Tribolium castaneum: one gene and its partner. The main gene of each other region encodes a partner of the protein of the gene in region 2 in a complex. Links are inferred from orthologs where the notes say so. Each region holds a gene or a part of one and is shown on either strand. Other genes may lie near its edges.

The links.
Region 1: DNA polymerase epsilon subunit 3 (region 2) and PolE2 share a complex: the UniProt entries of both Homo sapiens proteins name them as parts of the DNA polymerase epsilon complex. The link is inferred for Tribolium castaneum from reciprocal best matches to the Homo sapiens genes POLE3 and POLE2.

The regions. Positions count from the first base shown.
Region 1 is NC_087396.1:20,064,941-20,069,522, reverse strand, and holds PolE2 (DNA polymerase epsilon subunit 2), read left to right. Parts: upstream 1-1,641; 5' UTR 1,642-1,775; coding exon 1,776-1,843; intron 1,844-1,889; coding exon 1,890-2,052; intron 2,053-2,100; coding exon 2,101-2,492; intron 2,493-2,538; coding exon 2,539-2,800; intron 2,801-2,847; coding exon 2,848-3,083; intron 3,084-3,128; coding exon 3,129-3,312; intron 3,313-3,420; coding exon 3,421-3,597; intron 3,598-3,779; coding exon 3,780-3,857; 3' UTR 3,858-4,044; downstream 4,045-4,582. UniProt on the Homo sapiens protein: Accessory component of the DNA polymerase epsilon complex. Participates in DNA repair and in chromosomal DNA replication.
Region 2 is NC_087394.1:1,508,911-1,511,616, forward strand, and holds DNA polymerase epsilon subunit 3, read right to left. Parts: upstream 1,088-2,706; 5' UTR 1,016-1,087; coding exon 745-1,015; intron 697-744; coding exon 587-696; 3' UTR 571-586; downstream 1-570. Other genes in the region: E3 ubiquitin-protein ligase LRSAM1, read left to right, coding at 60-283, 335-454; centrosome-associated protein 350-like, read left to right, coding at 1,437-2,706. UniProt on the Homo sapiens protein: Accessory component of the DNA polymerase epsilon complex. Participates in DNA repair and in chromosomal DNA replication.

The DNA of each region.
Region 1 (4,582 bases), on a different chromosome or scaffold from region 2:
CACCACCACATATTTTTCAATTGAAGACAATGTCAAAATTTTTAACACTCTGTGTAATAGTGCCGGTCATTCCCGAAAATGACAAGCTTCACAAAAATATAGAGTATGTAATAGTTATCATAAATAAATAAAAGGAAAGAAATATGAGACTTGAATGAAAATAGTAACGCTACGAACAAGCAAAAATACATAATTTTCAATAAAAACAAAAAGGATTTTAAGCAAATTTTGGTCCAGGATTCTGGAATTCACAATCATTCAAGTTATCAAAAAATTCGAGATATCGCAGTTTCGACATAAACATTCTTATGCAAAATAAGGGAAATATGGAAAGCCAGGATTTGTCTGGATAAGAGGGTTCTACTGGAGATTTCATTTAATTAAACACGAAGTTAAATATAAGGTTAATAAAAAGCACTTTCATAAAAATGTAGGTATATTTTCTTTACTTAAAATTCATTGTAGATATAAAAAATTCCAGTTAAAAATTGATACTCCCTAAAAGATTACCATAATTCAGAAGCCGCTACTTTATTTACAAAACAATCTTTAAAACCGCGAATTACAATTGTGGACTGCAACCACGTTTCTCCATTTTCTGAACTTTTGTCTTTTTCATTAAAATTACGTTCACATTTTCCTGGACCTTCCACATCGCAAGAATCTTTAAATACTTCCAATTTATCACAGCATGAAAACACTTGAGAATTTGAATTAAAATTAATAACAGTTTGCTTTATCTTATTAGAAACTAATAAAGGTTTAGATGGTATAAATATATTGTCATTACACACGTTACTTAAATTACTTTGAGACGCTTCAACTTTCAAAAATATGTATGTGTTACAACAAGGTAATGAATTTTCTACTAGACTCATCCAGACCTCCTCTAAAAATATATTCCTGGCAAAAATTGAAAACTTTAGCGTTGAAAATACAGTACAACAAAGCGGTTTTACCTTAATATCCTGGACTGCCTTCTGCTATTTTCCATCACATGATTCCCCTCAACATGGCCTAAAGCGAGCGACGATGCCTTCACTGTAAAGACTTCCTTAGGACATACAGGCGTCACGCCAATTACAAAAATAACTTCTTTCAAACTATTCCCCAAGTCAGTAAAACACTTGACTATGTTTAAGGCGATATTTTCAACAGCATCATACGCTGTTGAAACAGTCTGGTAATGTTTATTTAGCGTAAAATTCGTCTTCTTCTCTTCCTCTCCGTCTTCAATACTTTTGCGTTTCTTCTTCACGATGCTCTTGAGCCAAGCATAGGGATAAGGGATTTGGGTCCTTTGATACAACAGGTTTTTCATAACTTCATTTACTAAAGAGGCACAAGAGGCCGGCGTCAGAATATAATCACCAACTGATATATTTATGGTTGAGGAATTCGGTAAAGCACACATAATTATTGTTAAAATAATAAATTAAACGAAACTTTAAAAACACAATAAAATAACCAAACTTTTGGAACGTCAAAGCAATGCCAACTTTGAAAGCATAAAATCGAAAAACGCTCGATAAAATTCAAAACGTTTGGCTAAAAATAATTACATAAGTTTTAAAATTCGTCTTCAAGCTTTTTTTTGCATTATAATATAACAAATAATTTACCCATAGCAATAACTGTAATTTTTCTTTCCCTCTTACAATTTTTCTGCAATACGGGTTTTCCAACGCCAACCAGAATTTGGGCGGGAAATAATTTTAGGTTATTTATTCTAAAAAATTCACAATTTACAAATACTCAAAGCAGAAATCAAAGAAATGGACGTTGAACAAGTCAAAAAGAAGTTGCACACGGCGTTAAAATTCGGCGGATTTAATATTCGGAGGTGTGTTTTTATTATAAATTGGACTACTTATTTATTGTAATTTCAGGGAGTTTTGTGGCAAAATTGTAGCCAAATTTCTCAGAGAAGGTATCGATTTAGAAAACAAACACCATTTTGATAATTGTGTTAAAAATCTGTGCTCCAGTTTAGAAAACCAGTGCCTTCTGGGGCACAGTATCGAAAAGGAGCACATAGACAGGGCTTTGGAGGTTTTTAAATAAAATTTGTTAAAACAGTGGCTAGACGAATGATTTTAGGTTTGCCTGAAGTCTGGTTACGACAGGAATGAAACAATTTTCAGTGTTATAAACGCTTTCGATTTTCCAAAAGTTTCATACAATCTTGATAGAAAACAGTATTATTTAACCGAAAATAAGCCCCGACTTTTGTCTTCTGCGGATTCCAAGGCACAGCTTTTTGCCGACAGATATGCCACGATTTTACACAGGACCAAAAGAAATTTTATACAGAAAGCAACAGAAAACACGAATATTAAATTAGAATTGCAAACTGTTGATTATTTGTTAACACTTTCGAATGTCTCACTGAACCATACTCTGGTATTAGGCTCGTTATTGCAAGTGTCTGAAGGCAAATATTACTTAGAGGACCCCACGGGAATCGTCCAACTGGACTTAAGCCACGCTGTGTAAGCCCCCACTTATTTTTTCGCCTCATTTACTCTTTATTTTTAGTTACTATGGGGGCTTATTTGCCGAAAACTGTTTTGTGTTAGTTAACGGACATTACGAAGACAAGATAATCAAAGTCTCCACGTTAATTCTACCCCCAGGGGAGGAATACGCCAATTCGCGCCCCTTTTTCAACACGATAAATTATTTCGGGGGCCCATCTCCAACACCCCTCAAAGACTCCGTAAAATTACGCGATCACTTACAACGAAATCGCGGCGCTTCGTTCATGTTTTTCTCAAATGTTTGGCTTGACCACCCTAGTGTAATAACGATCAAAAAAAAATCCACAAAACTTAATTCAAATTTTAGATTTTTGAAAAACTTGAATTGCTGTTTGAGGGTTTCAACCCCAGCCCGCCTGCGGCGTTCGTTTTCATGGGGAATTTCATGTCAGAGTCTTGCAGCAGCAATAAGATGGACACTTTGAGGAAACTTTTCAAACAACTAGCTGAATTAATTAACAAATACGAGAATTTGGCCACTGTTACGAATTTTATTTTCGTGCCGGGTTTGGAGGATCCATGCACTTCATACGTCGTGCCAAGGTGAAAAATATTAATTTGCTTTTTTTATTATTTAATGTGTTTTAGACTGCCGATTCCGTCATGCATAACTGAAGATATGACGAAAATGGTGAAAAAGGCAGTTTTTACGTCTAATCCGTGCCGTTTGCAATATTGCAATAAGGAAATTACGATTTTTAGGGCCGATGTTCTCCCAAAATTGCTACAAGCGTCATTGCATAAACCGAAAAAGAGCGAATTGTCCGAAAATGTAAAAATAACTGTGATTTGAAATTAAGTTGGCAAATCTGTGTTACCAACTCATTTTCAATATCTGAGGTCAAACTGATCGGAATTTTAATTGAGGCATTTGTTACAGCTGACCAGGACTATAATAAGTCAAGGGCATTTGTCGCCCTTGCCCTTAAACGCTTTGACAGTTCATTGGGATTTTGATTACACTCTAAGTTTAAATCCTCTCCCTGATTTAGTAGTGATAGGAGACAAGGCCGAACCTTACGAAGGGAAATACAAAGGGTGCCAACTTATAAACCCTGTAAGTTGAATTTTGAAATTAAGTTGGCTACATTAACTAGTGTTTAAAAAAATGTTTGTAAAGTAATTTTGCGTCATTTTAAAATGTTAATTGAATGTAATAATTATATGTACGTGTGAGGAGAGACATACGCTCATGCAATTTTCAGAGCACACTTGACCACGTTTAAAAAAATGTTTCAGGGTTCGTTTTGTGAGAGCGGGTTCCAGTTCAAGGCGTACAATCCTGCAACAGACAAAATCGAGGAATGTCTACTGTGAAAGCCTTAAAATAGCATATAAATTTATTAGTTAGGTCTCAAACATAATCTAGATTGTACACTTGAAAATTACTTGTACACTATTTACATTCACATTAAAATAGTCGCCTCGGCGATAAATGAATTAAATAACCTATTGTAATACCGCCTAAATCAATACGTATTAAAGAATTTCAATTTGACTTGAATCAGAAAATATCACACTGTCAAACATAAATAATCAAAAAAAGTTTAGCTTTCAGAAAAATACACATTATATACAACAGTACACAACTGTTACCAGTTTTCAACAAACGATAAATATCACATAGTACTAGGTTTGTTTGTTACAAAACGGACACAGTTGATCGTTAGTGGCACGATACAATTTTCGAGCGCTATGAATGCCCTAAAACAAACGGAATCAGAACCAAAAATTCCAAAAAATTGTGAAACTAACGTTCTTTTTCGTATCTCCGGCATGCTTCTGCTCGTTCTTTAGCGTCGAAATACCACAACGTTATTGCATATCTTGTGTCGTAGGCGGGTTGGACTTCATGTGGATTTCTCCGGTCAGACCAGAAAAATAAAAGACGGTCGAAAATTGGCTCTATATCAGCTACCTACAACCAAAAATCACATTTAAAAAAACTTAATTTACTAATTATTTCTTTTAGCACCTTATCACCTAACCATCCCTCTGGGAAAATTCGTAATAAACCCCCGTTTTCCCTAACATTCCAATTT
Region 2 (2,706 bases):
TGCCAACCTAAATTTCAAAGTCAGTGCCTACTTTGGCCCGATTTTTAACCAATTTGCAGGCAACGTTGCAAAAATCACAGAAAGCGACCTCAAAGAAGTGGGAATTGTGAATAAATCGGACCGGGTCCACATTTTAGACGCATTCCAAATGTACCGAAAGGAGCAAATACCGACCGATACGGCCCCCTCAGCTCCAGTGCTGCCAATCGAAGAGGCAAGTGCGCCACCACTCGAAAATGTCGCAAATTTGGGGACTGAATGCGTCATTTGTTTGGACTCAACTGTATGTTGTTTATCTCAAATTAAGGCGAATTTTGGTGTTTTTTTTTTGCAGTGTGAGGTGATTTTCGTGCCATGTGGACACTTCTGTTGCTGTTCCCAGTGTCCTGTGACCTTGAACGACTGTCCAATGTGCAGGACTTCAATCGAACGCAAAATTAGAATAATTTCATAGTTCGTTCAACTGCCGTCACTTTTTTTGCTCAGTGTTGCTAAAGTGTGAATTCTGCACGATTTGTGGCCTTAATCTAGTCAGTTGTTACTTTTTCTCATGAATAAAAAACTATCACAAAAAATTTATTTTTTATTACGATTCTCCCGTTTCTTCCTCTTCCACGGCCTCCTCGTCGTTGTCTTCCGCCATTTCAACGTCGGCCCCCTTCTTCACTTTCTTCTTCTGCTTCGCTTCTTTGAAATCTGAAGTCGGTTTTTGAAACGTGAACATAACCTCAAAAAAAAACTAACCTCTCAGCATCACACTTAAGGGCTCCACGAATTCGTCAAACTCGAGCTCTTCTAACGCTGTTAGAATGTCTTGACCCAGAAGAGTCTTTCTGTTCACTTTTTGCGCCTCTTTGGTGGCTTGTGAGGTTATGTACAGGACAAAAATTGAAGCGGCCCTTGACAGGGCCGAACGGGCGTCTTTACCAACACTGACGTGTTCAGGCAATGCGTCTTTAATTATCTTTTGCACCGTCATGTTCGGCAAATTCAAATCTTCCAGTTTTTCGGCCATTTGGTCACAAAATTCACAAAATTACTTTTCCCACCAAAAACAAAAAACGCGCATGCGCAATGCCAACCGCCATGTTTGAATTTTGATTAAAAAATCATTAATTTGTTTATTATTGGTCACCTAATAATTATAAATTTGTGTTTTTTGTTTAATTAAGCTTGGGGGGCTCGTGACGAATGGGGTGGTTTATTTTAGGGGCTGTTTTTTGCAGTTTTGGTGGGGGGCCTTGAACTATTCACCCTTGTTGGCCTTGGTTATTGAGGTTATGTTATAAACGGTTGACGTTTTGAAAATATGTGAAAAAGGTGAGTTAATTTTGCATTTTCTCACCTAAATTAACACAAATGTGGGTCAATTCGTGAATTGTACGTCAGTCTAATCAATTTCCAGTCGTAATTCGCTAAAAAAAGGGGGTTCAGAAATGTCCATAAGCCAAGTGGAAAATGTCAGCACTCGTGTAAAAAACACAAAAAAAGAGATCGAACAGCTCAAAACCGAGCTAGAGAAGCTCATAAGTCTTGGGACCCAGCCCCCTGAGCCCCCCACCCACAAGCCAGCCCCTGATACCCAAACCGTTAAAAAAAAGGCGCCCCCCGATCCCGAGAAAAAGCCCCGCAGTTATGACGTCACCGAGGCGCGTAACTACATCAAAAAACAGCGGGAAAAACGCGCCGAACAATTGCGGGCCCAAATCAACACCACTGACAATAAACTCGATCTGAAAAAGCAAAAACTGAAAGAATTACACCAGAAAACACTCGAGCTGGTGACAAAAAACGTGCAGTTGAAGCGCGAACGCTCGAAATCGCGGGACAAGGGCGAGCCCCCTGTCCGGATCGACCGCTCGAAGGCGCGGGAGAAAGGGGGCCCCCTTGTCCGAACCAACCGCCCGAAGTCACAGGACAAGGGGGGCCCCCCGAAAATCGACCGCTCGAAGTCGCCCGCACAAAAAGTTTCTGAGGGCTCCGAAAAGACGCAAAAAAGCGAGAGAATTTCGAGGGCCAAGGCCCGGGAGCCCCAGAAATTGGCGAAAACGTCGTCTGAGGCGAAAGAGACGCAAACGTGCGACAAGGGGGCGCCCTGGCTGGAGCCCCCTTGTGCGGCGTATCCGTACAATTTTATAAACACAGTTAAGAGAAAATTGCAGTTTGCTGTGAATTCGCCCCGGAATTTTATCGACATTGGGGTGCAGAATTCCGGGACTCCGCCCCTGGAAACAAAATCGAGGGAAGAAATTAAAGAACTGTTGATTAAAAGTGCCAAAAGTGAGTTGAGATCGTTTGTTTCGCACAAATGTCTCGACTTGAAGCCTGTGGAAAATTTAGAATTGAGAGAAGTGTCGAAAAATTTGTTCAATAATTGTGATAGTGGTAGTGAGTCGGATACTTCGAAAAATATTCCCGACATTTCGAGTGAAAGTCTAAAGCTCGATTTCGATAAATTGAAAAACTACAAGTTGCAGAAAAGTGACGATAGTTACAGTTCGGATTTTCACAAAGAAAGTGTTTCATTTAAATCGCTCCTAACTGAAAAAAAAGTATCGAAAAATTTCTCTGATTCGGATTCGGTTCCCGAATCTTTGACGATGAAACAACCAAATGTTTCGCTTTCGGTTCGTAATTTGAGTCTTGCCAATGGGAAAATGAACACGGTTACGATTAAATCAGCTAGTGAAAAAAACTATTTATCGG